2 linked regions of the Pelodiscus sinensis genome follow. The protein of the gene in region 2 interacts with the protein of the main gene of each other region in a pairwise test. Links are inferred from orthologs where the notes say so. Each region holds a gene or a part of one and is shown on either strand. Other genes may lie near its edges. The genes, in order: CTNNBL1 and CDCA7L.

Evidence for each region.
Region 1: the proteins of CDCA7L (region 2) and CTNNBL1 interact in binary tests that used the Homo sapiens proteins (3 or more experiments, as listed by UniProt). The link is inferred for Pelodiscus sinensis from reciprocal best matches to the Homo sapiens genes CDCA7L and CTNNBL1.

The regions. Positions count from the first base shown.
Region 1 is NC_134728.1:432,897-448,006, reverse strand, and holds the start of CTNNBL1 (beta-catenin-like protein 1), read right to left. Parts: upstream 7,520-15,110; 5' UTR 7,394-7,519; coding exon 7,364-7,393; intron 1-7,363. UniProt on the Homo sapiens protein: Component of the PRP19-CDC5L complex that forms an integral part of the spliceosome and is required for activating pre-mRNA splicing.
Region 2 is NC_134712.1:200,003,533-200,018,842, reverse strand, and holds the start of CDCA7L (cell division cycle-associated 7-like protein), read right to left. Parts: upstream 7,793-15,310; 5' UTR 7,647-7,792; coding exon 7,629-7,646; intron 7,351-7,628; exon of another isoform or gene 7,212-7,350; intron 1-7,211. UniProt on the Homo sapiens protein: Plays a role in transcriptional regulation as a repressor that inhibits monoamine oxidase A (MAOA) activity and gene expression by binding to the promoter.

The sequences.
Region 1 (15,110 bases), on a different chromosome or scaffold from region 2:
TCATACCGTTCACTCTCTTGGTCACTGAAAGAGATATGCACAGCTGTGGCTCCCCCCAAGTAACAAGTATTTACGCTGTGCTTGAGAATAAGCAAGAGTGGGTTTATTAAGTAGAAGTCGAATTTAAGTGAATTCAAATGAAAACAGACAGATCAAGGTAAGTTCCTAAGCCAAAAGGAACAAAATTCGCTAGTTAAGCCTAATACAATAAGAAACGTATTATATGCACATTCTTACAGTAGTTCTCATCCTTTTCATAAGCTAGGCAGCCTCCTAGCTTGGGCTCGATTCTCCCCCCACCCCCCTCGTCCAGTCTGAGTCGTTTCCAGCAGGCACATACAGTGGTAAGTGGGGACGGGGACGGGAAAGAGAGGGAAATGTCTCCTGACTTCTGGAAATTGCCCCTATTGTTTGGTTTCCCACCTTTTATCCCCTTTGCCCAGGGCAGGAATTCTTTGTATTCAGTTCAAATTCCTCTCTTCTTGTGTGAAAAAGCACAAGACCAAAAATGGTCCAGCATCAGGTGGCCTGGCCACATGCCCTGGCAGAACCAATCTGGATCCAGGCTTACAGGAAAAACTAGACTATTGACAAGTTGTTGGTTTACTTACTGAGCCACTATGTTCGAGTATCACTAATGGTCTCATTAGCACATCTAGATTTATAAACAGACTCTCACTTCTCTGCCTCTTGCTCCTCACCCACAACTATTTCCAATTTGGAGACAATTTCTATATTCAAGTCAGCAGCACAGGTATGGGTGCCCGCATGGCCCCACAATATTCCAACATCTTTATGGCTGACCTTGAACAAGGTTTCCTTGACATTACAATACAATTACATGACAGCCACGTTTCTACCACTTTATACCAGAACCCTACCCACCGTTATGCTTCCTTACATGCCTCTAGCTTCCAGCCAAGAAACATTTCCCAACCAATTCTTTACAGCCAGGCCCTAAGATACAACTGGATTTGCTCCAATCCCACAGACAAAGACAAACACTTAAGGATCTATATCAAGCGTTCTTAAAACTAAAATACCCACCCGAAGAAGCGATAAAACAGATTGACAGAGCCAGACGAGTACCCAGATAACAGCTTCTTCAAGAGAAGCCCAACGAAGAAAACAACAGGATACCACTGGTATCAGCAGGATACCTACAGCCCCCAACTGAAACCCCTCCAGCGCATTATCAACACCCTACATCTAACCTGGAAAATGACCCCTCACTCTCACAGGCCTTGGGTGACAGGCCAGTCCTCGCCTGCAGACACACAACTCCCTAATCTCAAACAAATTCTTTCCAGCAAGCACGCAGCACACCCCCATCAAACCCACCCAGGAACTGGGGATGTTAAATTTAGATTAATCGGCTAATCGAATAGTCGATGCAATATGCATTGACAATTGAATTAGTCGATAAGGGCACCTTCGCCTTTGAGGTGTAGCAACAGCCTCAGGGTTGGTGCTACACTTCAAAGGTGAAAGCGCTGCGGGGAGCATGGGGCCAGCAGGGGACTCAAGCCGATTCTCCCGCTGACCCAGGGCTCCATGCGGCACTGCCACTTTGAAACACTGCAGGAAGCATGGTGGGGGAAAAGAGGGAGGAGAGAGGAGGAGGTGGCGCTGCCACTTTGAAACACCACATGCAGCCTGGGGCCAGCTGGGGACTCCCCAGCTGGCCCCAGGCTGCACCAGCATTTCAAAGCAGCAGACCCTGGGCTCCACACAACACTGCCACTTTGAAATGCTGCGTGCAGACCATGGCATTTCAAAGCGGCAGTACCATGTGGAGCCCAGGGTTTGGCCCCGGGCTCTACACAGAGCTGCCATTCTCCTCCCCCCCCCCCCTTTGCTGCCTCTTTCTGATAGATGCAGTAAGGTGGGGGGGGGGGGGGAGCGTCTAGTCGACTGGTGTGTCGACTATCCAATAAGCATTTGCTTATCAGATACTCAACTAGTCCTTCACATCCCTACCAGGATCCCATCTCTGCAATCAACTCTGTCCACACATCTATTCAAGCAACACCATGACAGGACCTAGCTACATCAGCCATCACATCAGAGGCTCATATAACTGCACATCCACCAATGTGATCTGTGCCAGCAAGTGCCAGCAACACCCCCCTGCCATGGATATTGGCTAAAACAGACAGTCTCTACGAGAGAGGATTAATGGACACAAATCAGATATTCGAAATGGTAACACACAGAACCCTGTTGGGAAACTGTTTAACTTGCCAGGGCCCCCACTAATGGAGCTAAAGGTGACAATATTATTGCAAGGCAATTTCAAAACCCAGCTGGAGAGAGAAGCTGCAGGACTTGGTTTCATTTACAAGTTTGACACCTGCAATAGCGTTTTAAACAACTACCTTAACTGGATGGCCTGCTACATTCAACACCCTAGTGACATAAAAAGGTACTCTATCAGCCTCATTTACCATGGACACTAATTGACAATATATTTTTTCCTTCTCTTTTCCTCCCCATCCCCTCTCTTTTTCTGCTATTTATTTGTCCCCAGGAGCCCTTAACTCCCTTCACCTGAAGAAGTGGGGTTTGCCCACGAAAGCTCATGATACTATATATATTTGTTAGTCTCTAAGGTGCTACAGGTCCACTTATTTTTTTAAGACTTTCACTTCAATTTTTCTAACTTCACATACAAGAATGATACATGCACAGGAAAAGAACACATGCATTCATAGACTAACTTTAAAAATATGTCACGTGATGCACTTACCTAAAGCGCCTTCCAGTTTGGCTTATTTATAACCCTATTTTCATAAAGCATGGGGGGCCCCAGTGACAAGGAGTCCAAAAGATTCACAGGAATCCGAAATTATACCATATATTTCTAAGTAAATGTGAGCAAGCCCTCCCCTCCGGAGTAGAACAGAATCAAAACAGGGACTGATCTTTTATTCCTCAATTTTTTCTTGTGTGAAAATGAAACGTCCTTTCCAGAAGGGATATTGAAACAAGTGAACTGAATGAAATACAGTGCAACGCTGTCTTTCATAACATCTTACATAGGTACAAATTGCACCACAAAATACTTAGAAATAAATAACCGAGGCTGAGAAAATGGAGAAAGTAGAACCCGGCGAGTGATGAATATTTTCACTTGGGATTGGAAATTGGAAAGTTGGTAAAGTGGAGAGATATAAGCACAGCAGAGGGAAAGATCTCACATCAGCAGCAGCAAGATTAGTACTGACAGCACAAATGGTTGGATGAAGAGGAAGAGAATGGGAAACTGGCAAGATCAGAAACACAGGAGCAAAGCCACGAAGAGATTTGGAAAGGACCGGAAGGATGTGTTGAACTTGAGCTGAAAAAAACCAGGACCCACCTGGAGCGGTTGTTAGATTCCCAGGCTAAGCCACAAAAGCCTATTTAACTCATAATGTAGCTGAAATACTGTATATGCAATGAAAAATAGTAAAAAGTTGATTTCACCTTGACTGCTGGTGCTTGAGGAAAGGCAGGTTTAATAAGAGGAGAACGAGGAGGTCGGTGGGGATTCTGAAGGGGACAAGTAACATGCCAGCAGGCCAGAGGACTCTGGAGGCCTGGGGTCAGATGTAGCAGTCTCTGATAAGGCTAACATGATTGTAAGACATGTTATACATGAAATACACATGACTGAGAAGGAAGGAAACTGGATTGAAAAGGATCTGAATAAAATACAGCCCAAGGGATCTGTGCAATATAATGGCTGACAGTACTGAAAACAGATGTGAAATCAGCACAGGCTCTATTCCGGACAAAGATTTAAGGTAGCTGTGGACAGCACCTTTAAACTACAGTTAAGAAAGCAAGAACACTTGGAGCTATCAGCAGAGTACAAATCAGCAGGGTGTTGCAGTAGTCATCCAGCTCGCTGGGAAAGCTTGAGGCGCCATATTTCCAGCATTAGAAGAGACACACAAGAAAGCAGCCTGGGATGCTAGGGGCCAAAGACACAACGTTAGGCCATTTTTATTCATATTTGTTGGAAGAGAGATTAGACACCTCCAACACACCCACTTCTCAAGGTGAGGGCTACGAGAAGGTAGATGAATTATATTCAAGAGGCTCATACAATAGATGAGGAACCAAAGGACACAAAAAGACCTGATGCCAAGGGCAATGAAGGAAACATTATTAAGAATAGCCAGTAGGATTATCAGATAAAGTCTTTTAAAAACAAGTGTCTCCTGTGTTACAAGCTGCACCCTGGCATATTAGAAATGAGGATTTTAGAACTCTAATGTTCTTTTCACCATTAATGTTGACACTATTTTTTGCATTTCATTCAGCTAAAAAAACAAAAACAAACTTGTCAGTTTCACTTTTCTGCTACAGTTGAGGGGCAAACACTGCAGAAAAAACAGTTTTAATAGCAATTTCAAAAAAGAATGAAGAAATGTCCATTGATCTTGTAAGTTTTGTGCCTAAAGTGACCAAATAGCATCCCATTAGTGTGTGGAGTACACCAAAAGCACAGATACTGCCCTATGGGGACATACAAATAAAACATTTAGACAATTAAAAGAAAGGCACGCATAAAGCATGCCAATGACATGCACGTGGAAAGATCTACATATAACCTAGGGTCTTTTTTCTTCCCAAGACATTACAAACTCTATACAGGGGAGGCGAGAGGGGAAATCAATTTATGGATCTAAGAACTTCACTAGTTTGACATTACATTGGGAATGTCTCATAAGCAGGGCTCGCCAGCCGCGCGGTTTCACACAGTTCTGCACTCTGTGCATGCACAGATTGCTCTTCACCAGCTCTTCCGGGTTGTAATTGTAATCTACTCGCCACGGGCGAGTAGATTGCATTATTTGTCGAGCCCTGCTCATAAGGACTGACTACTTGGATTGGTCTGTCCTGGAACCAATCCTATTCAACTTATTTATAAATGATCTAGAGCAAGGGGTAAACAGTGAGCAGGCAAAATTTGCAGATACCAAACTGCTCAAGACAGTTAAGACCAAAGCAGACTGTGAAGAACTTCAAAAAGATCTCACCAAACTAAGTGATTGGGCAACAAAATGGCAAATGAAACTGAATGTTGATGAATGTAAAGTAATGCACATTGGACAAATAATCCCACAATACATTCAGTAAAACAGAGGTGGCCAACTTGTGGCTTCAGAGCCATATGCAGTTCTTCAGAGGTTAATATGCAGCTCTTTACATAGGTACCAAATCCAGGGCTGGAGCTACAGGTGCCAACTTGCCACTGGGCCGGAAGGTGTTCACTGTTCTATCCCCAGCTCTGCCCTAGGCGCTGTCCCCCTCCACTTTTTCCCCCTAGGATCCTGCCACTTCCTATCGTCTCCACTAAGCCTGTCACACCCTTGCTTCCCCCCTCCAGTGTCTCCCACTGAGGAAAAGGAGGGACAGTTCGGTGGGGCTGCCAGTGGGCGGGATGTGCTGAGAGTGGTGGTGGGAAGATGATCAGGGCTGGTGACCTATAAATGTTGCTCTTTAGCAATGTGCATTGGTAAATTCTAGCTCCTTCTCAGGTTTAGGTTGGCCACCCTTGCAGTAAGATGTGGACTAATTTAGCTACAACTACTCAGGAGGGATCTTGGAGTCATTGTGGACAGTTCTCTGAAAACATCCACACAATCTGCAGCAGCGGTAAAAAACAAACAAACAGAACGTTAGGAATCATTAAAAAGGGGACAGAGAATAAGAGAGAATATCTTATTGCCTTTATATAAAACCATGGTACGTCCACATCTTGAATACTGTGTACAGATGTGGTCACCCCATCTCAAAGAAGATATACGGGCATTGGAAAAAGTTCAGAAAAAGGCAACAAAAATTATTAGGAGTTTGGAACAGGTCCCACATGAAGAGAGATTAAAAAAACTTGAACTTTTCAGCTTAGAAAAGAGGAAACTAAGAGAGGATATGACAGAGGTCTATAAAATCATGACTGGTGTGGAAAAAGCGAATAAGGAAAAGTTATTGACTTGTTCCCATAATATAAGAACTAAGGGCCACCCAATGAAATTAACATGCAGCAAGTTGAAAACAAACAAAAAGAAGTTTTTCTTTACTCAGTGCACAGTCAACCTGTGGAACTCCTTGCCAGAGGATGTGGTGAAAGCTAGGACTTTAATGGGTTTAAAAAAAAGAGCTAGATCCATTCATGGGGGTCAGGTCCATCAATGACTATGGTGGGAATGGTGTCCCTAGCCTCTGTCTGTCTGGAAATGGGTAACAGGAGAGGGATCACCTGAGGATTCCCTGTTGTGTTCCCTCCCTCTGGGGCACCTGATTTTGGGCACTGTTGGAAGACAGGACACTGGGCTGGATGGACCTTTGGTCTGACCCAGTCTGGCCGTTCTGATGTACTTGCCTTTCCTGGATGGCCAAGGGGATGTTAAAATTGTTATCATTTAACCGGATAAGTCTTAACTAGTTAACTTTTAACTTAAGACCTGCCACTTGGTCCACCACAGCTGTGAGATCTCACTGTCTCCCCCCTCCATGACTAAGCGCTCCTCAGGCCCCGCATGGCTGGCTGCCGGAGCTCACTTAGCTGGTAAGCCTCATGGTTAACCAGTAAGCACACCAGTAAACATTTGACATGCCCAAATAAGTCGCCATTGAAGACCGATTGATGGCAAAGGTTTGTACGTTGCTTTCTGTTGAAGATGAAGTCTCAGGGGAAGCCGCCTTAGTCTGTAACTTCAAAACCCAGGAGTAGTCGTGCAGCACTAATAACCGCACACAGGACCACGGGCTTCCACGGGCAAAAGCCACTTCTGCAGCGCGAGCGAGCGGAGGACAAGAGGGCAGAAAGCAAATGAACGTTCCCTGCCAGAGGGGCCCTTCCGCCCCGCGGGGCGCACGGCGCAGCTCTCGCAGGGCAGGGCGCGTGCTCGGGGGGGGGCCAAGCTCAGCTGGGCCCATGGGCGGTGGGTAGGACACTGCCCCCCCCAAACCGCCAGCCTGGCCCCGCCCACACCCTGCCTGCTGTAGGGGTACCGGGGGCGGGGCCTTGCTGCTCCCCCCCGCTCCCCGCGATGGGGGCGTGGCCTGGGCCGAAGGGGCGGGGCTACCTCCCCCCCCCCATGGCTAGGCTGCCCCCGCCTGGGCCTGGCGCCCCGAGGGGGGGGGGGCTAAAGGCACCGGCCGGCGGCTGCTGAGGAAGTGAAGATGAATCTTTAATTACAGGGGGTCACGTGGGGCGCCCCGAGCCCCCCCCCCCGTGCACCCCTCCCCCCAAGTCCCCCCCCGCGGGGCCCAGGCCGCTCTGGTTTCCCAGGCGACGAGGGAAGCCCGGGAGTGAGGAGGCCGCAGCCCCCCTCCCCCCACGGCAGGCGCAGCCCCTCCCCCTCACCTGGTAGCTGAGCAGCTCGCCCACGTCCATGGCCCCCGCGCCTCAGCAGCCGCCAAGCCCGAGCGAGAGCGACCCCACGCCGCCGTAAAGCGAGCCGGCGCCGCGCTGCCGTAAAGCGCGACAGGGGGCGCGCCACACTGCCGCGAAGCCTGCTGGAACGCCAGTCACGTGGCCGCACAGGCGCACGCGGCCCGAGGCTCGCAGGGGCGTGGCCTGGGGGCGGGGCCTGGCGGGGCAGGCGCGTGTTCCCAGCCTCCTGCTGCAGCCTGGCCTGTGGGCTGATGGGCAGGCCCTGCCCCCAGTGGATGGGGCTGGCCCTGGGCGCTGGCTGAGGCTGACCCCCTGGCCTGTGCCCATCCTAGGGGCCAGTGGGCGCTGGGCTGGGTCCGCGTGGGGACTGCGGTGCTGCAGCCCCGTGGCACTCACCGCCCGGTGCCCAGCTCCCCGGCCAGGCACGTGGCAGCCAGCCAAGGGAGCCAAGAGCTGCCAAAGCCGGCCAGGGCGCAATGCAGGGCCAAGGTGCCAGGGCGAGGGCTGTGTTCACAGAGGCCCTTAGCACCTGTCTGCCATGGCTCCGGGCACTGGGCACCGGACTGACAGGCTGGAGGGAGGCGCCTCTCGGGCTTCTCAGCTGCAAACCCTCCTGCCGCCAGCCCGGCCCTGTGCAGGGAGCAGGCAAACAGGGACTCTCCAAGGAAGCTGCAAGCTCTTGTCCAATTCGGCACAGGGACTTACGTTTTCACTGCAGTTAGGGGGCAGCCCTGGCCAGCCAGCTGATTTGTATGTAGACCTCCAGGCCTGGACTCCAGCCTGAACTCTGGGACCTCCCACCTCACAGGATCCTGGCTAGAGACCCAGCCTCAACACGAGCTCGCACCTGTGCACTGCAATTAAACAGCCTTAGTCAGCGGGCACAGGATTTTCATTGCCTTATTTAAAATGGCGTTAGGGTGCATCTCCACTGCACCGTAGGTGGAAATAAGAGACCCAATCGGCGCTACGCACACTGTGGCTCTTATTTCGATGCTCTTTCGAAATTGCTTGTTTTGAAATGTGGCGCTGTCTACACAGCAGGTATTTCGAAACAACCCGCTATTCGGAAACGTCCCTTCCTCCCCGTGGAATGAGGGTTGCAGGGACGTCGGGCTAGTGAGCCCGTGATATTTCCAAATAGCTGGTGCGCTCAAAAGACACGGAACGGCTATTTCAGGTTACCGCCGGCATCCGGAAATAGCGCTGCCATGCAGACGTAGCCTTGCCGGCCGGGGGTGTGCCCTAAGCACCAGCCCATGTGGCTGTCTCAGGATTGCCTGTGGAAGCTAGTCCGTTTGGGGCAACGAATTAAAACCGTGGGGGGAGGAGATGAGTGAGGGATGGGTGCTGCTCCGCCCAGCAATGGGGCATTCACAGCGGAGACTCTGGCTCAAGTCCCTGCTCCAATGAATGTTTACAGGGACAATCTAGTGAGCCCTGCCCCATTCTGGCCAATAGGCCGGTAGGTTTGGGCCCCCCCGTCCCCGACTCAGTCACAGGAAGAATTGGATTCTCCCCCCAAGAGAGTGCCCCGACTGGCTTGCCCCCCAGCTGGTTTTTTCACAGGGTTAGTGGACTCTGAGCCCAACCTATGAGATCAGGCAAGGTGGGCAGAGGAAGGCCTGCGGTGAGAATCCAGCCAGCTGGGTTGAGCCTAAGCTAGGGGGCCCAGCAGCTTGGGGGTGAGCTCAGGACTTGGGTGACTTTGCAGATGCACCGCAGGGGAGGGAGGTGGCAGCCACGTGGGGGTGTCGAGTGTTGGATTTAGACACCTAATCGGGTGGGTTCCCATGCGGATTTCACAGAAGTGCTGCATGTCCCCCCATCAGCTGGATTCAGGGGTGTTGTGCCCACGACCATCTGACCTCGCAGACTTGCCTGGGGTACCCAGCAAGCCCCCAGCACAGCTCCCATTCTAGTGGGGAAAGCAGATCAACAGCAAATTACCCAGATTCCTGAGGCCAGGACAAATGGTTTTGCTTTTCAGGTGACTATGAAGCATTCGCTGACGTTCTTTAAAAGGAACAACGAAGCCAGAGAGCCAGATTGTCCCAAATCTTATCAAATAGAGACTGTAGCTGTTCTTTAAAAATCAACTTGGAGGTAAAACTCTTTTGTAACATAACTATAGCAACTATTACCGTTATCTCAGCAGGCGTCTACTTTAAGGACAGTCATGAAATTAAAAATGTATCTAACATTTTCCAAGAAAGAGGCCCCCTAGCATCCCCTGTTGTTTCAGTGCGGTCTAGAGAGAGCAGTCATGAGAAAATTAACTCAACAAATCTGCACTCGGAAGAAGAGACAAGTAGAAGATCATTATTGGATCCTCTGCCTTTCTTTTATGGAGCATTCAGATAATTCTCCAGCTGCGAAGGCAAAACACAGTCATTCTATGAGTATTGACATATACTTGGGAGCATGATATAGTTATTGGAAAGCTTGACAAGTGATGCTAATAAATAAGACATAAGGAGTTGTAAAATAAATAAAACACATGAAGAGGGGAGTGCCGACCCTCCGCAGACAGACAGAAGCCTCATAAACCTGGCGTACGTGGGAACCTCAGACAACATTCCATTTCATGATGACATGATGTTTTGTTGCTCTAACCTCCCCCATCTCCGCGTTTGTTTCTGATGAATGAGACGATCTGCCTAAAATACCGTTTTCCCTTTCGCTGTCTGTCACACCGCTCTGGGCACATCCTTCCCCCTGCGACCTCGTGGAGGGTCACACGCAGGGGTCGCCTGAGAGAGGGGCTGTCAGACTGAACCGGGGACGTATTGGCCCATATCCTGCAACAGCTCACACACGCGGAAGTCACTGGGAAGTAGGGAAGTCCAGCACATGGGTAAATCCTGGCAGACTCAGAGCTGTACTACACCCATCCTGCAGGTGGGAAAAGAGAGGCCCAGAGAGGTTGTTACTCATTCACAGTGGCCAATGGCATCCTTGCTCGAGGTGTACCTGTAGATAGCGCTTGTCAGCTGCCAGGTCCTTTACAGACACTATTTCCTCCATGCAGAACCCGGAGCGACAGGCGGGTCAGCAGAATCTTCTGACTGTACAGATGGGGAAACGGAGGGAGAAAAGGGTGGCCACCGCAGGCCTCAGTCTCAGAGGCGGGATTAGGACCCTTTGTCTCTGAGATGCGGCTTGTCTCCCGTCAGCTTCTCAAACTAACCAGGGTGCCTCCCTTGGCTGTTAGTGTCTTGCCCACGGTGCCCTGCTACTCAGGGCTCTGCAGTGCGCTGGGAGGCAGGGAAAGGCCAAGGGTGAAACCAGGAAGCCCAGGACAATGCAAGGGGCAGCGAGGCAGCTGTCGTCAGCCACTTCCTGGACGTGCTCCTAGCTCACTCTCTGCCTGTCTCCTAAGGCTTCCCGGCCAGGCTCACTGCTGCCTGCAGAGCTGGGTCGCTCCAGGTGCTGCAGGGCTGGTGTATCCAATAAAGGGAGCCGGGGCAGGGGACAAAATTACGTTAGAAACAAACCTGAGCAGGGCTGGAGGAGAGCAACACGTCTGGGTCCCGACCTGGAGCCCGGTAGCTGGCACGAGACAGTGGGCTTCAGGGAAGGAGTGTGGCTTCATAGGCTCATGACTGAGCAATTCCAAGGGGGTGCAGCCATGACCCCGTCCATGCCGGGTACCGATCCCCTGAAGGCAGCGGGGAGACACCCGATACATTGGCCCCGCGCCTGTAACGGGGCTCAGCTGCCGGAGGAGAGGCAGCGTGTCTGCTGTTAGACTCCAGGGCTGGTGCCAGGAAACCGGGGTTCCGGTCTTTCCTCTCACTGGTGCTCTGTGTGGCCTTGGGCCTGTGACCTAACCCCTCGGAGCCTCTGAGGGCTGTGCCTGTAATGGAGGCTGTGCTACGTACCTGCGCTAGGGCAGCGCGTGGAAAGCCAAGTGCCATTCAACCCAGGCCTCTGTCCCCCCGGAAATGCAGCAGGGATGCCCAGGGTAGGGCCTGCAGCTGCCTCTGAAGTAGAAGGGACAAGCAAAAGCTGGCTTTGAAACTGGCTCCCGGGACGTGTCGGCCATACTCCTCCCGCCCGGCACCGGACCCCGGCACTTGGGCCTGCTCCTGCCAGCGGCTCCCCACAGCTTTGTGACCGGGGGAGGGGCGGGGGGGCAGCCTTGGTCTGTCAGCCGCTGAGCCAGGCGGACAGGAAGCACAGTCAGACGCAAAGCAGCTCCTGCCATTCAGACCCCCGGTCGGCCCTGGGGCAGGCGTGAGAGGGGCCGGCTTAGTGCGCTGGCAGAGGGGCTAGAACAGCAGCAGCAACTAGGGAGGTAAAATCCTGGTTAATCTCTGTGACGGCGCGTCGGGGTCCCTGCCTCCTGCACCCCCGAAGTGGCAGGGACAGACTCCCCAGCCAGTAGAACAGAGGGGGTTTATTGCTTCTCCAGGATACAGCCCAGCACAGATGGAATCTGGTTCCAGGGCCGGCCTAGGATGCCTCAGCCCTTGAGATGGGGAGACTGGGCCCCTAAACCCCAGCCCCTTGCTTAGGCTGCTTCCTCCATGATCCCAGACAGAAATTCCCCACTCTCTTCCAGCCCTGCCCCCAGCCAGGTGCTGGTCTCCGCCCTCCCCCCTTTGTCTCTCCCTGGGAGGCTGAGCCTGAGTGAATCCACATTTGGGAGAGTCAGTGAGAATCTCCCATCCCAGCGCAGGGGCCCCGGGTCACAGAGCAGACACCCCCCCCCCCCGCGCCCCAATCTGTAACCAGTTAAACATTGTGTTTAACCGCCCGCCCCCCACCGCAGCTGAGCTGGAGCAGCCCCCGCACCCCTGCCTGCAGCGCAGCTGGCCTGGCCCCCGCGGACAGGGGCTGCTCTGGCAGGCAGGAGCGACCCATGCCCACGGCAGGCCCTGCCAGCGATGGGGGGAGGGCTGCTCCAGCCTCAGTTCACATCCCCCGGTTAACCGTTCCGTCCCCTGCGAGAACCAGGCACGTGGCGCGCTCAGAGATCAGCACCGGCGAGCGGTGCCGGACGCGGCCAAGCAGACCCACCCTGCGGCGGGTTGGCTGGGGTCCTCGCTTCCGCCCCGGCACGTTTACAGGCAGCCCGGCCCAGACGGCGCCTCACGGGGTAACGCGGAGTCCGGGGAGTCTTGCTGGGACTGGCCCGACCTGTTTCGATGTCACTGACCCCCAAGCCCGCTCCCCTCGGAGCCAGCCCTTGGGGAGGCCTCTCCCCGGCAGCCCCCGCACCTGCTCCTTGTGCAGGGCCACTGGCTCAGAGGGGGCCAAGGGAGAGGAGACTCTGCCTCTTGCCTTCTGTAGGGGGGCCCTAAACGAAGCACCGCACAGGAGCAAGCCGGGAAGAATTGAACCGGGAGAGCAGGGCGCGCCTCCCTGGCACCCACCGCCAGCCTCTCCCTGGCCTTGTTCCTTCTCCTTCGCAGTGCACTATGCGTGTGCGCGGCCGCAGTCAGAGTGACGGGAGCCTCGTGAGCGCCGGCTCAGGACACGGCAGCCCCCGTGCGCAGCCACGGTCGGTGACCACAGCGCCAGGGCACCTTACAGCTCCCCAGGACTCCCAGTGGAAGGTGCAGGTGGCGACGTGCCCCAGAATCTCCCGCCCCCGGCCCCCGGCTCGTCCCAGGAACTCATTTTTCACCTGCCGCGTCGTTAGCGGGCGCAGGAAGCCACGCTGTGCCGTGCACCGAGCCCCGCGCCGGGTCGTCCATCACCCGGCGACAGGAGCTGGCTCCCCGCAGATAAAGTTATGACAAGCGTCTCCAGCCCAGGCTCTCAGCCGGCGCCTCCACGTTTCCATCATCTCAGACATTACAGCAATCAGCTGAGCAGGGCCCTGGCTACACATCAGGGGTGTCAGAGCTGCAGCTCTGGGAGGCAGAAGTGAAGGAGCAGGGCTTCACCGTGGTACCCGCTGGGCTTGGCTTCTGCTGCTCACGGCCCTTGCACAGCTGGCTCCAGGCTCCCCTGCCTGACTCCCGCACCAGACCGTCCGAGGGCAGAATGAGACCCGGCAGGGGCCGAGAGCCGGGGTGCCTCATTGCACTGCCCCGTTCTAGGGACAGTTGTTCCTGGAAGTGCTACCTTGGCCGTTGAGACCTCCTAGGGCTGGCACTTGAGGACAGCAGCAGTGTCTCTGCGTAAGGCCCTGGGAGGGGAGGCAGGAGCAAGGTTCCCTCTGATATTTCCCATCCCTGTGCAGAATAAATGTTGTTATGTGCACCAAGGCATGTGTGGAAGTGCACCACAAATAGAGACACCCGCTGCCAGCCCTGGGCGCTCTGCTAATCAGCTGGGCGGCGTTTGAGTTTCTCCTGGGTTGGCGGCTGCTGTGCTCAGCTTCCAGAGAACACTGGTCAGGGGACCGGATGGCTGCTCCCAGCTCTGCCACCGACTTGCTGTGTGACCTTGGGAAAGTCACTTCCCCTCACAGGGCCTGTCTCCCCTCCAACCTCTGGTCCGCTTACTGTCTGCTCCTGAGGCCAAGGCCTGGGGGTCGCTACATGGTCCTGCAGAGCCTGGCACAGTGCGCTCCCCGCGTCTCAGCCGCAGCATGAACAAATCCAGGCCTGAGAACCCAGAGGAAGGCATCACAACACCCCAGGAGCGAGCGGGTGGCTATTAAGCCGCCAGTCGGAGGTTTTCCATGTAAATTGCTCCACCAGGACAGAGACAGAGTCATTCGCAGCGAGGAGGCTCGACAGAGGTTCGCGATTCCATTTTCTGTTTAAATTATTTAGCATTTCCTTTCCCCGCGCTGAGGTCTCGCCTCCGCTGCGGCTGCACACAGCACCTCTCGGCCGCGCGTGTGGGTAGCAGATACAGCAGTGGCAGGAAATGCCGCCTAGGGGTTAGACATGGGCGGAGGGGGTCGAGGATTGGGCTTGGGTTCTGCCCCAGCCCCTCTGTGAGTCCCTACTGACCTGATATTCCCACCCCTGACGCCTGCAAGGCTCAGCGCCTGCTTCTCTGCAGACAGAGGGGAAATTAGCATCAAGGGACAGCAGAGCCCAGCGAGGGAGCAGGGCACAGGAACCCCCCCCCCCAGCAGCTGTCAATGGGGAGCTCTCCAAGCCATCCCCTTGCCCTGGGAGGGATGTGCCCGGGGAAGGGGATCCAGCCATGTCGGAGCCAGATTGCGCAGATTACAGGAGGAGGCAGCTGGATCCATTATTAATGAGCATGAGCTGGAGAGGGGGAGGGGGAGGGAGTGTGCAGAGAGCCAGGCTGGCGTGGGGAGCAGAGGGGACAGGGGAGTGAAGGCTCATGGCCAGCCCCACTGATTGGGGGCAGGATCGGACAGGCCCAAGCGACTACCTGGATCCCTGAGCTCCCGGGACCTGGGCAGCCACGCCCGCTGCAGGGCCAGGCCTGGCTGGTGCAGAGACATGAGGGTCAGATACCCCCTCCCCCGCCTTCCCTGGGGCCACCCTGAGGCCAGAGTCTGGTCAGGTGGACCCGCCGGGGGCTGTCCCACCAGTTCAAAGGGCCCTGGCCTTGGATCAGTTTCGTAAAAGGAAAAAGCAAACGGGCCGCTCGCCGGATGATTTCCCCGCGCGCAAGAGCAGCAGGCCAGCCCGGGGCTCTGCCGCCCGGCTGCCTTGCAGGAAGGTGCGTGGCGCTGCGGGGGTGCCTGGGGCGGGGGCGACAGAAGGGGGAGAGCACGGAGGAGGAGAATCCCTTTTTAATTTTATTCCTGGTTCACTTTTCAATCCAGATGCCT
Region 2 (15,310 bases):
GATTAATCACAATTTTAATTGCACTTAAAATAGAAAATAAATTAAAATTAGAAAAATATCCAAAATATTTAATACGTTTTCAAATAGACTAATTTCAATTAACACACAAAATACAAAGCATGTAATTTATTAATTGTGTAGTCGACAAAAATGTTGCCAACTACATGATTGACCGATAAGGGTTAGCAGTGAAAGCTCTCAGTCCCAGCATCAATCCCACCGTAGCTCTGCACTGTCTGGGGAGCTGGCGCAGAGGCAGGCTGGCTCAGTCCCAGCTTCTGCCAGGTCCCAGCATCAATCCTGGGGACTAATTACGCAGAGTTGCAGCAGGGTTCATGTCAGGGCCCAGTGTGATTCAGGACCGAGCTGGCCTATTGGCCAGCCTGCTAAAAAAATGTTCTTTCAGAGCCACGGGATGGGGAGAAGAGTGAAGCTGCATGTAGCTGATAGTATTAACCAATAAGCATCCACTTATCATCTACACTGTTACATCCCTAATACAAAGTGTGCAGTGCTCACTTGATATCACTTTATCACAGGTATTTGCACTGTAAAAATAGTAAAGAAATAGCATTTTCTAATTCATGTTATACATAGTTGTACAACTATTGTGAACGTACAACTTACAAATGCAGATTTCTTTGTTACATAATGGCACTCAAAAACCTAAACCATGTAAAAGTATAGCACCTAGTCCACTCAGACCTACTTCTCCTTCAGCCAATTGCTTAGAGAAACAACTTTTTTTATATTTATGGAAGATAATGCTTCCCACTTCTTATTTATAATGTCACCTGGAAGCGAGAAAATTTGCATGACACTTTTATAGCTGGCACTGTAAAGTATTTATGCGCCAAATATACTAAACATTTGTATGCTACTTCATGCTTCGACCACCATTCCAGAGGACCTACTTCAATGCTGATGACATTTGTTTAAAAAAAAGAGTGTTAATTACATTTGAGATTGAACTCCTTGGGGCAAAACTATATGCTTCCTAATCTGTTTTACCTGTATTCTACTATATATTTCATGATAGTACTCTTGGGTGATGGCCCAGCACATGTTCATATTAAGAACACTTGAGCTGTAGATTTGACAAAACACACCAAAAAAGATATCAATGTGGTTTAGACTTTAGACCAAAATATACATGTCTGCACAACCTTTTGAGACAATTTAAATAAATCAGGTTTTAAAAAAATCTAAATTGGTGAAAATCTGCATGTAAAGAAGTCTTTATTTGCAACAACCCTAATGACATCAACAGATCTAATGGCAAGAGCAAAGCCAGCACAATTTTATCCATTCAGAGCAGAAACTGCATCAAAGATTGATTTTCACAGACTAACTTCTGAGCATAAATTTACTTCAAGGCTTACAATAGTTATTTGTGTCACAGTAGCACACAGAGGCCCTAATCAGGATAGGGATGCAACAGTATAGTCGATTAACCAATTAACAGATAAACAAAAGTTTATAGGTTAATGCTATAGACTACATGCATTTCTCCTCCCCCAATTCCCCAGGCCAGTAATTTTTTTAGCTAGCTGGCCAGCAGCCCGGATCAGTTCTGACTTGCGCCGGGTCCATGACCTACCCCCGCTCCCAGGGAGCTCCCTGCCACCTCATGCTGCTACGTCTCTATCAGAGGCAGCTTTGTGGAGCCAGTTCACATGGGGAGCTAATTTTTAAACTAGCTCCCAATGCGGACCAGCTCCCGCCTGGCACCCTGTGCAACTGCTTCTGATAGAGAGCACAGGGTAGCAGGGGCTCTCCAGGAGTGGGGCCGGAGCACACTGGTAGCCAGCCACACCCCCCGGGGACTATAGAATAGTCAACTAACCGATAAAAATTCGTGAGGTTAATCGACTGTTCAATTAACTGATATTTAACATCCCTAAATCAGGATCACAGCTCTATTAGGCCACGTACTGAACAAAAATATAGCAAGAAACATTCCCTGCCATGAACTATTTACATTCCAAGTCTTGCTCCTGAATAAGAGTGTAGAATCAAGATCTAATTTAAAGACATACAGTTATAGCAAGTGGTCATAAAAGAAATGAAGGTGGAAAAGGGAAGAAGAAGAATGACAATGATAGGAATCACACGATTACACATGTTCATATTAGCTATGTGAACAAGAAGATTTTTTTAATTGACTCAAACTGAGATACCTGATCATCTACCAACCTCTTACCTGTTCACAGTTTCTCATCAAATGCTTGGAACAAGATGGCTATAGTTAAAGGGACTTTATGAAATAGTTTGAGGATGGAATATTCCATGCACATGCAGTGCCATAGAGGAATACATAAAACTGCTTTGGGAGAAGTAGAGGAAAAATGTGATGGGGAAAAAGCATGTACACCTGAAAGATCACACAAGATTAAGAGTTATGGATTACCATCCAAGATGAAAGTACTTTATCACCATAGCTGTATATTGTGAACATTTTAGTTATTCATGAAAAGCTATGATCTTTATTACATTAGCCAAACTATTATTGAATAGGACTCTTCCATTAATTTTAGCTTTCTGAATGCCCCAAATAATGGATTCTGGGTTTCTAAATGTTTTTAAATTAGTAACTAAATGAAGTTACTATTATAAATATTTGACTTCTCATGAAGTCTTAGGACAAGAAACTTATTTACAATGTTAAGTGCTATGACACTTCCCTTAACCCAGTGGTTTTCAAATCGTGGTTCCTGGACCACTAGTGGTCCAGGATAGTCTTGCAAGTGGGCCGCAGGCTCTGGAATCACGCCCAATTGCAGCAGCGGAGGGTGGTGCCTGGGAACAGCGGGAGACACAGAGCCAGGTAAGCGCCACCCACCTCCCTCATGCCCTAATACCACCCCTCTATCCCCCTCAACGCATCACCCTCCCACTAGGGATGTTAAATATCGGTTAATTGAATAGTCGATTAACCTAATGAATTCTTATCGGTTACTCGACAATTCTATAGTCCCTGGGGGCAGGGCTGGCAGCCAGTGCGCTCCAGCCCCACTCCCAAGGAGCACCCTGCAACCCCACGTTGCTGCTGTCTTTGTATCAGAGGCAGCAGAGCAGGATGCCAGGCAGGAGCTGGTCTGCAAGGGAAGCCAGTTTAAACACAAGCTAGTTTTAAAAGTGGCTCCTCTCATGGAATGGATGCCTGATACAGAGACAGCAGCATAAGGTGGCAGGGAGAGATCTGAGCTCCCAGACCCATCACGAGTTGGAGCTGAGCCAGACTGCTTGGCTACTAATACAATTTAAATGCAGAGCCGGAATAGGGGTAGGTCTCAGACCCGGTGCAAGCTGGGACTAAGCTGGACTGCTGGCCTGCCTGTTAAAAGAATTACTGGGGGAGGGAGGCAGAAATGCGTGTAGTCTGTAGCATTAACCTATAAGCTTTTGCTTATCAGTTAATTGATTAATCAACTATATTATTGCATCCTTACCTCCCACCCTCAGCCCACTCCTGTTCCCTACTTCCTGGCCAAAGCCTGCACCTCCACGCCCTCGCACACCCATTTTGTCACCATGGGTGGTTGGCTTGTGGTCCTCAGAAAGATCTGTGTTGAGCGGGGTGCACCACAAGTCAAAAAGTTTGAGAATTATTGCTTTAACCCCAGACCTGCAGTAAGCATTTTCCACCATCACGAAGCCATAACTTTCCCCATTGTTTATCATTGCAACCAACCAGCCTCTATTACCAGGAACTAAAACCCTAATCCTGCAATTTAGAATGTGGGCAGACTGCTACACCTACATGGAGCCCTCCAAAAGCCAATGGGGCTCAGCAGTCTATCCACACAATATAAATCGCAGGAATAAGACTGAACAATTGCTTTTTATAGGGAGTGTGAGCCTGCAATCCATAAAAGGTACTTTCATAAAAGATTAACATTATGTATATGAGAACCATAGATAGTATAACCATGCTTCAACTTCACTCCCGTTTCTCCTATCCGCTCTTCCCCACAATACCTACTACTGATACACACACAGAAGCTGATATTTCTGATTTAATATTGCCCGAAACAAGAGAAGCATCTTCTCATTCAAGGCCTCTAATCTACTTCTGGCTCCCAGTTTCCCAGAAAGCAGATTTGCACAGTATCACTGCACCACTGAGGTATATCTAGACTACATTGTTTTTTCAAAAAAACTGCCCTTTTTTAGAAAAAACTTCACCTGCGTCCACAATGCAATTGCATTCTTTCTAAATTAAATCGAAAGAATGCAGGGGTTTTTTTTTCCGATATTGGTAAGCCTCAAATTACAAGGAAAAATGCCTTTTTCGAAAGAGCCCTTTTGAAAAAAGGCATGCGTGGACGCAGAACAGGGACATTTGTCTAAAGAAGAGGCAGTCGAAAAAAAAGCATAGGTGCCCTAGTGGCCATTCTGTGAATAGCAATCAGGGCTTTCTTTCGAGAGAGCATCCATGCAATCTGGATTCTCTCTTCTGAAAAAGCAAATCGCTTTTTCGATCTGGTTTTGAGGTGTGGACACTCTCTTTTGAAAGAAGCTTCTTTCGAAAGAATCTTGCAGTCTAGGCCAGTGTTTCTTAAACTGTGTTCTGGGGAACACCAGTGTGCCGCAAGGCAGTCGGAGGTATGCTACGGAGAACAGAGTTCAAAATGGCCACCCTTAAAGGAGCAGGCAACTTTTTTTGCTTAAATTACTGCCCCCCCCCCCCGACCTTTTTTGGGGGGGGGGAGAGCTCAACAAAAAATCCTTGGTGTTCTTCATAAAAAAATTATTATTTGGTGTTCCTCTGTCTTAAAAAGTTTAAGAAACACTGGTCTAGATGTACCCTGAGTAAACTACCAGTCTAGAAAAAAAAATAGGCCCAAATTTTGCTACTTGGCTCTCTGGAGTCATGGAGTTCAGTGGCGCATCAGACAGTCACAAAGGCCCACTTCCCGGAGTCACTTGCAGGCTTGGGGCCATAGATGGCATTATCCAAAGACAGAATTCCAGTTAATATAAGTCAAAGATGATTTTTAAAATGCCTCTGTGATACCCGAAATGTACATTTGGCCAAGGAAAATAAATTTCTAAAACAAGGGTCAGTTTTTATAACAAAACTCCAATTTTAAGAAGTCTTTGTAAGTATTGAAAGCCATCTGTAAAACTTAGGTTTAAATGCACACTCTACAGATATGTTTAAAATTAGGCCTTTGGGTTACCAAACAATATACATGAATAAAGGTCTTGCAACTCAGAATATCTGGCTAGTGACTGGCTAAAATGGGGTCACACAACTATCTCGCCAAACTAGTTTGTGTCTGAAACCTTTGAACCTCACTGTGTTGTTAAGGGCTTAACATAATCAATAGATTACATTATGATTCTGAGAGACAAGGAAGCCTGAAACACATCTACACTCCTGCAGGTGATGAATCCACCTGACTCAGCAAGAAACAATTTAACCCACCACTGTTAGAGCTCCAGAGAAATAACAGGGAGGAGTGCAGGACTGCAGTGCCTCTTAACCCCAAAACAACCCCAAACTGCCACAAGAAATATTAAAAAGATTGCTGTTCTCTTTCCCCTCCACTGCCCTATTTATATAACGGGGGGGGGGGGGAAGGATTTAATTTCTTGTCCCTTGAATAAAAATGTAACTGGTCGTAATAACGCTGTAGCATTAGGCATTAATATTTTGCAGTTCCAATAAAAGGCAATCAGACAAAGGATCTGAAATCACTTTACAAGTACCAATAGCCTTGCAACACTCCAGTAATATTAGTATCAGAAGGGTAGCCATGTTAGTCTGAATCTGCAAAAACAACTAGAAGTCCTGTGGCACCTTACAGACTAACAGATTTATTGGAGCATAAGCTTTTGTGGGCAAAGACCCACGACTTGGCAAAGTGGTTCTTTGCCCACAAAACCTTACGCTCCAATAAATCTGTTAGTCTATAAAGTGCCACAGGACTTCCAGTAATATTGTTAGTCTCACTTTCAGATGGAGAGAAGTTGAGGATCATGTTAAATTGAGAGGGCAGAGCCAGGAACAGACCTCAGGTTCTTAATATATTTGTATGGAAGAGTGCACACGGATTTAACATCTTTTTGCTTTTGAAATGTTTAGTATGGTTTTTAGTCTGTATTCAACTGCCTCTCATGTAAAGCTTCTTTTCTTAAGCTTAACAGATTCATTAATGAAATTACGATACATGTGGTGACTTTCCAAGAAGGTGCCAATGTATTAAACCTAATCCTGCAAATATTTTCAAAAAGTAAGTTTGTGTGTGTGTGTGTCCCTTTAACTACTAATTGTACATGAAGTTCAAAACTACTCATAAGTGTAAAACTAAACCTCAAAAGCACCAATCTGCAAACATTTACACACAGACTTAATGTTACTCATATATGCATGTTTGTAGCACTGGGAACTAAACAACATCTTTAACAAAAATAAGAAGAGGTCAGAAGCAAAAGAACTATCACTAGAAAATATATGAGAATCAGGCCATCCAGAGACTTTTTAAAAAGCCCCTTTACAAAACAATGAAAATAAATTCACCAATAGGGTAGACCAAATATTTTAAGATTTGGTTACAAAAATTACAAATTCTTAAGATATGCTTTTTAAAACACGGTTCTGTATTCCAATGTACAGAAGATAACAGGAAAACGAAAAAAACTTAATTACAAAGAAACAGTAACACTAACTAGTTTATTTTTCCTAATGGTGTTTTACAAACAACACATTAATTAAAGTTTAGTGTTTTGCTTTATAATATAAGAACACATCATCACAAGTGAAGAACCTTTTAATTTTTAAAATACAGCAGCGTCCACTTAAATAAAGCTTCACAAATCTTGGGTTTTGAATTTTAACACTGATTATCATGCAAGCAGGAGGAAGGAGGGGAAAAAACGGAAAGAGGGGCGTGTAGTTGCCAGCCCCATTTTTTTTTTTTTTTTGGCCACTGCTGCCAGTTAGTCTATAGAGTCTGCTGCCGCCGCCAACTACACGCAGTAACATCCCCAAGTTTTGTTCCAAATCTAAGATGTGTAAGAAGTAAAAGTCCCATTAAGTAAGTGGAAAATCCAGAAAGAGGGAAGTCAGATCTGGCACGTCAAATGAGAAGAGAGCTGTTGGAGGAAAAGCAGCCCCACAAACACACTGCAAATACCTCCCCAGTAGCACCAAGCAATCGGTTCATTATTGGAAACTTCTGAGGAGCAGGGGAATCAACTACCTTTTAAGAGGCCAACCTGTAGAGCCGGGCGGACTTGCAAGCAATACAGGGAGTCCAGGCCAACGCAGCATGACCCCCCTCCTCCTGCCCCAGCCCATCACCCGCCCCATTAATCAGCACGCTCAGGGCTCCCGCCTCTGCAATGCGCGGGGGGTCGCTCGGGGAGGAGGAGAGGGCCGAGGCGGCGGCGGCGGGGTCTGTCCCCGCGCTGGCGCCGAGGGAGCGCCCTTTGGAGGACACGCTCCACGTGGCGGAGAGGAACGCAGGCGGGCTCCGGCTGAGCGGGGCAAGAGGCGCGCTGCAAAGCTCTGCCGCCGCCGCTGCCCGGGCACATGCGCCTCCGCGCAGGCGGGCTGCGCTTGGCGCCCCGCTGCGGCCGGGGGGGGGGGGCTCTAGGCGCGCCCGGGGCCGCCTCACCTTGCTCGCCGCTGCCATCGTGCTGCCGCCGCCCGAGCCCGGGACCGAGCGCGCCGCCGACGCTGGGCCGCAGGGAGCGCGGCTTCCCCCGGACGTGCGGGGGGCAGGGCGGGCGCGGGGCCCAGCTGCAGCCGCCGCCTGCTCCGCCCGGGGCGAGGCGCGGGCTGCGCTGGGCCCGCCCCCGCTAGCCGCGCTGCGAGGCGCGCTCGTCAGCCCCGTCCTGGCCGGCCGGCTCGGGCCCAGCCCCTAGGGCCGCGGGCTGAGGCCACCGCGCTGCCCCCTGAGCGCGCTACGGCCGATTCCCGCCCTGCGCACCAGAGTTAGGGCCACGGAAGGATTTGCCCATCAACCCGGCCGCCCCTCCAGGAGAGGGGGACTATCTCCTCTGGGGGGCTCCCTGCTCCCACCTAGGAAGCAGCGTTCCAGGCGAGCAGCTCCTCTTCACGGCGTTGCAACATGCCACTGGAGTGTAGACGTACCCCCTGTGCTGGGCTGGGGCAGACTGGGCTTACTGCACTGCGGGAGGCTTCTGCGAGGCAGAGAGAGGGCTTTGCTCCCTTGGCCTGCTCCTTAGGCTGTTAGATGTGACAACTAGGCTCCCGTCTTAGCTCTGCCACTGCTGTTCTTGGGTAGGGCTGGGCAATAAGTGGCCTGCAGGCCAAATGCAAATCGCCAGGGTTAGCCCCTGGACAGGAGCGGCCCTAGACAAGCTGCCAGCAACTGGCACCCTAGGCGAAACACGTGATCGGCACCCCTGCCTCCAAAGCCCTCAACGGCCATTTTACTTGGTGCCCTAGGTGACCGCCTAGGTCACCTGTTTTGGCCACTGCTCCTGCAGGTCAATTAGATGTTGTATTTACCGGCACATCTGCTGGTACGTCCACTTGCAGCTGTCATTGCCCACAGAGCACTATTCCCGGCCAATGGGAGCTGTGAGAAGTGTCCCAGAAAGAGGCCATACCAGCGGACGCAGGGGCAAATAAAGCATCTGGTAGCCCTCCAGGGGCTAACCCTGGTGAACCATGTTCAGCCCATGGGCTACTTATGGCTCATTCCTGGCTCAGTTAGGCCAGGTCTACACTAGGGGCATTATGCCTAGCTATAATAGCAATGCATAGATAAGGTAGCTGCAGTTTGTACCAGGAAAAAGGCACTAATACAGCTGATTTAAGTCCCTCATCTTTCCCCACCCATGCCCTGTGTGAAATAAGGTACACTGGGAAAAGTGCCTGAGTTTGCTGGTACAATAAAAGCTCTGTTTTCTGATGTGTTGAGAATGGGATGGGGGGTGGTTCCTGTTAATCAAAAATGTTGGTTAACTGAGAGTTATACTTTACCAGTGGAATACCAGTTTCCAAAGAATTAAAATACAGTAAAATGAATAACTTATAAAATAAATACAAGTACTCACCAATCCAAGAGCAGTACTGCATTGCAGGGTGATTGATTTCATGAAGCACTCAAGTTTATGCAGGTAAAGTTTCTATACAGTAGTGCTGTGTTACCTTATAGACTAACAGATTTATTGGAGCATAAGCTTTCATGGGCAAAGACCCACTTCATCAGATGCAGTATGATACTACATATCATTATGGGCACCACATGATGTACACCCAGATCACTAAAAATACATTTAACACGAACCATATTGAACATAATTTAATCTTTGATGGTTCAGAAGGCACTTCAGTATCTTGTAGTGCATTGATTATCACGATAGATACAGAAGGTATAGGACACCAATGGGCAACCTAAGCTAGTGAGTAAGCCAAATCAGTGGCCCTGCTTCATCTGAATGGGCTACGATATTTTGCTAATTGTGCTTGTGTATCTACAATTTACAGTGTATACTAATTAAACTGTTCCAGCACTTGAACTTTATGCAGAGGGAGAATATGGCTCTCACGGTCAATGTGTGCTATCAGCAAGCACCTCATTTTACATGCCTTTGTTTTAGGTACGTCACTTTAGTAATACCACTAGGAAAAAAAATACATAGAGACTAGCAAAACCTGACAACCCTGCACGTGGGCAGTGGTAAACAAAATGTCTCACGGGTCACAGATTGAACCCCGATAGGTCACAGGTTGCCCACCATTGGTGTAAGAAATTGGGCTGAAGCTGTAATGACCTATGACACATTGGAAGTTGCTTTTCTCTAGATACATAAAAAAGGTATTTCCTGTTGGGCAACAGAATGACATCATCAGGCTCTCTCAGTGAAGCAAAAGCGGACAGAGAATGGGGTAGATGAGTGTAACAAGCAGAGGGCACAGCCCCTTAGTTTTGAATAAATCTCTGATAACAGCTTGTTTACTTATCTTGTGCCTCTATTGCATAAAAGTAGAGTGCAGAACCATGCAATTGCATAATATGGTAGGCAATATACTAGTCCCAGTTACTAAACTGAAGATATGTATTGTGAGATATCAGAAAAGCCAGTTAACATAGTACTTTATAACTGTCTACATGAGGGTCCTGTAGTGGCATAGCTGTGTGTACTGCAAATCAGTCAAACACTCCTCAAACCAACATAGCTATCCTCACAAAAGTTTGTAGTGTAGACCTGGTCTTAATCTTTCTGTAAAATTGGGATAATAGGCAACAGCTTTTTCCTACTTCACCTGAGTGTTGTAAAGATCAGTCCATTAAAAACTGTGCAGGCACTGAGATGATATGGTAGTTTGTGCCATGTTCCTTAGACATAAATTTCCTCTTTCCAGCCTGCTGTTCCTTATGCAGGTGTTCACTCTCTGTTCCTGAAGTGGTTGTATTCAAGTCCCACAGCTATTTATTAACCCCTTATTACCTGTGCTGATCTTACGTCCTTCCAGTCTTCAGGCTGAAATGTTCATAATTCATGATGCATCAGTCCCCAAAATCACGATTGACATTAAAATCATTTTGTAATTGATCAGTGTTTTACTTTCTAGTTATAGCCTTTAGGTTTCTTTTTTTCAAACTTTTATCTGGAATAAGAAGAGCTAGGTTTGTTTTTTGTTTTTAAATAAAATCCAATATTTTTGACTGCTGCAGCTGAGGCTTTAAGAAAAACACAAAATATTATGAGACTTCTGATGAAATCACAAGGTTTAGTAACATTGTAGCCTCCCATCTTTTCTAGTAAAGAAATGTAAGCTCCACGTAGTTATGTCAGTAGAAATTGTAGGACTTAAAGACAAAATGTCTTAAAGATCTAGTCCCCTGATCTCTTCTCCAGCCTCAGCTGTTCTAATTTTTGTCTCTAGCAATGGTCCTATGGGACCAATTTGCTGGCTCACCACAGCACAGCATTCTACCACACACCTGTAAGGGAGTACAAATTCAGTGTGCTGGCTTTAGTTTTGCAAGAAAGACTCTTGGTATGCCTTTAAAGCTGCAAAAGGGAATACTATGAGCCAAGATGTGGTCCTAGATTTTTTTAGAAATTAAATACATGTTTATTTTAGTCTATAATCAACACCTTCCCTTTCTCCTGCCTTCCATAACAAAAAACAAAATAAATGTACCTATACTGTATAAATACTGTATAGTACTGTATAAAGATATGCTGGTAGTTTAAGCCCTGAACCTACAAGTATGAAAGTATGTGATTAAAATATATGTTTTATAAATCCTAATACGAAGATTCAAGAAAAAAAATGGTGTTTATAAGCATTCCTATGCTGTTTGCAATCTTAACTGGAATACTGGGCTAATACTAGTGAAATCAAAGGTGAAACTGAATAGAAGCATAAGCTTTGTTGCAACATCCCATCAGGGGAAACACAGTGAAAAACAAATACAGTTTCAAGTGTTAAAAACTAAGTCAGATTGAAGGAAAGCAAAAAAAAAAAAAAAAGAGAAAGAGAAATTTAAATCTGCTTTTAAAATAATTTCTCCTCATGGTTTCCTATTTTAATCTTTCTTTCTGAATTCCCATTAGCAGAAAAAAAATTAAAATAATCAAAAACTGTCTCTTACAGCTTTTCTACAATAAGCTCCAGTTAGCTGCCTTTAAAAACAAACGAGAGATACTATTTTAAAAATATTTGTGTGAAGGGCTATATATATGCAGACATGACAGACATTGTATACCCTGCTCACTTTCACACTGTGTGCTAATCAGATAAAGAGCTCTCAGAGATCTATGAGTGTATTAAGCAAACAGATGTGTGTGTGTATATCTATTATACTAGAAGTTTTACCTGGCATTCCTTAATTAATTTTTGTTTTTCTTCAATTAAATCATTGTTCTGCGGTGGGGCTGGAGATGAGGGGTTCTGTAAGCACCCTTCCCGGGGTAGAGATGACTACCCCAGCCCTCTCACTCCACAACAGCTTGGGGCTAGGTGAGAAGCGCATCTCCATGGGCGCTGCAGCTCCAGTGAGCACAGTTTGGGGAGAGGTGCATGTCTCCCGGCTGGGAAAGGTCCAGGTTCATCTGCCTCTGTGCTCCCTGCAGAGTGACAAATGCAGCAAACTGCACTTTTCCCTCACTCCCTGATGAAGGGGAACAGCTAGCTGTGTTCCCATACAAATGGAGGGAAGGGAGCTTCAACCCCCCCCCCTCCCCGGGCCGTCCTAAAGGTCACCTGGGGGTGGGAGGCTTGGGGCTAGGGCAGTCCTGGATGAGGGTCGACAGTCAGCTTCTTTTACTTGCTTGGTGATTTGGTCTCCTTTTTCTGTATGGTTTTATGCGTTCCCTATACGCATGGGGAGGAGGGATGCTTCAGCCCCTCTCCCACCATACAACCAAACCCCACACCATGAAACACATTTCAAATGGTATCACGTAATTTACCATTTGATTTTGCTCATTGTATCAAACACTAAAACTACAAGTTTTCTCTGCAAAAAATATGCTAATAAGGGACTCAGTTGCATGAGTTGCGATCTCATTTGCATATTTTCTGCCGATCTGGTTTTTCACTTGGGTTTTTGCGTAAAAACAAACAGTGTGGACGTTTCCTTCTTGTGCAAAAACCCCTTTTCCCGCAAGATCTTGTGGGAAAAGGGTTTTTTTGCGCAAAAAAGAAACGTCTCTTTTCCCGCAAGACCTCCCTTTTCCCGCAAGATCTTGCGGGGAAAAAGGGGTTTTTGCACAAGAAGGAAATGTCCACACTGTTTGTTTTTGCGCAAAAACCCTAGCAAAAAACCAGATCGGCAGAAAATAAGCAAATGAGATCACAAGTCATGCAAATTTATGTCCCTGAGCATATTTTTGCAGTGAAAACTCGTAGTGTAGATATAGCCTTATTGATTCCTAACATGGGCTATCCAGTTGAGCAGCAGAGTATTTCTATGCCTATGTACTAGCCATATGGGGACTGCTTATTAGAACTGAGTCTGAGGAAAGGGGTTACCAGTAAACAAAGAACCATTAAGCCAAAGCATGCTATTTAAATAATGGTTTGCTCTGCAGCATCCACTATAGAGAACCCCGTGGTTGTCATTCAGGGCACTGAAGTAAGGAGCTTTGAAGAGAGGGGGAGAAGAAGATTCAACCAAAGACAAAGAGTGAGAATTATGTATTATGTTAGGAAATGTGGGCATTTTAAAATATAAAAGTGTCTTGTACTTCAACATTCCTGAAAGATCTGCCTTTTATATATCCTGTTGCTAACTCTGGGTTTCTTCTCCTCTTGCTTTTCCCCAGCAGTCTGCATATAAAGCACTCCATTCAGTTAAAAAGCTGTCAAGGAGCTAGCCTGGATTGTGAACAGCAGATTTCAAATTATTGTGTTAGAATGTCCTGTGTTAAATTAGATTGAATTAAATTGCATTCTATTACAATACAAATGTGTGGCTTTTATGCTGTTACAGATACATTATGAACTGTCTAATCCTGTGCTATTTTATGCTATTTGCTTCTTGCTTTCATTCCTTTTTTTTTCCTGAATTTTCTACTTTTGTACCTCTCACAATCTTTCTCCTTCCCAATATTTTTTTAAATCCTTTGTCGATTCTACTGCTCTTTACAGCCACACTCTGGAATCTGTTGCTTTTTTAGTTTTTCTTTATTTTACTGGAATTAATTTCATTATAATCTTTCCAACTGTATCTCAAGTTATGTCTACACTGCAGACTTCTTTCTGAAGAAGCTTTTCCAGAAGAAATCTTCTGAAAAACTTCCAAAAGACAGCGTCAATACTGCCAAAGCACATAAAAAAAACCATCTGCTTTTTCAACAGATAATGTCCACACTGAATGGATGCTATCTCTCATATAAGCTGTGATTACTATGGGTGGAGTGGCTACCAGGGCACCTTTGCTTTTTCCTCTTTCCTCTTCTATCGAAAGAACTCCTTCCACAAATGCCTTTTTCTGAAAGAGCTCTTTCAGAGAAGGCGCTCTTCCTTGTAGAAAGAGGTTTACTAATGTCAGAAAAAACCCTTTTTTCTTTTGACTTTTTTTGAAAGAACGCTATTGCAGTGTGGACATAAGTGAGGGTTTTTTGGAAAAATGGCCGGTTAAAAAAAAAACCCTCTGTAGTGTAGACATACTCTCAAATAGCTCTCACTTTACCAATGTGGATTTCCTATGCATTACTGAATTCCTGCCATTTTCTTTACCACTTTTCATATTACTTCAAAGTCTGCTTTTTTGAGTTCCTGTCACCTTTGTGTGATTGCCTTTTCTCATCAGCCTCTTAAACCTGATATTATAACTAAATCCTAGGTGCTCTTCAACCTCAACTTTATATATTAGTCCAGAATTACTTTACAGCTATTGAGTCCAGACTAGCCTCTGACCTTGCTCATCATATGAGAGCATTTTTTATAGGCTCTGGGTCTATCCCTTGGACATTTAAACTATATAATGAAACTTATAAGTTCTGAAGCTCAGAACGAACACTATAATTGGACTACAATACCTCTGAACTATCGCTTTCTGAACAGAAAACAAGCATACATGAAGAAATTATTAGCTGCTATGAAGATATATCAACTATATCAAATCTATCAATTTATACGAGCCTCATCACTGTAATGCCATATTGATATACTGTATAATTAAAGAATAAGACAACTACCTCTTCAGAATGAGCTTGTAAATTGGAATGGTTACTGTCAGTTTTTAATTGAATAATTACAATGAAAATTTAGATTACAATATTGGACATTAATGCTTTCAGTCCCACAAACAGATGAATATTAAACTCAATCCCCACTCCTGAGCTCCATTTCTAATGCTTCCTCCTCCATCAAATACTAATTTGGGGGCCATTGTAGTCATGACTTTAGGAATTTTTGCTCCCATCTTCTGCCACCTCATTTCTCCAAGACCTGTCAAGCATTTTAAGTAGTATGCACTTTCCCACACTCCTCAATGAATGCGGACATACCTAACTTAAAAGGATTACTTTCTGCTGAGAGGAATTGTAATCCTCTTTTCCTGCTCTGTAAATCCTTTGGTAAGTGAAAAAAAAGGCCAAGATCTGTTCTGCTGTGCAGGGCAAATCATCATTTTATAAGACATAGCTGAAACATCAAAACTAAGATTTACTGGTGGTCACACTTATCTGGGAACTGTGTCTGCTATATTAATTCATTGACCTCTCACATCACTTTTTTTCTTTTTATGCTTTTGATATTTTCTGTTATAGTTTCTAATTATATGTGTACATACACAACTTATTTTAATTGTATTCAGAAGAAAAACAAGAAATCTAGCTATGGTATTTATAAGGCGCTTATGAT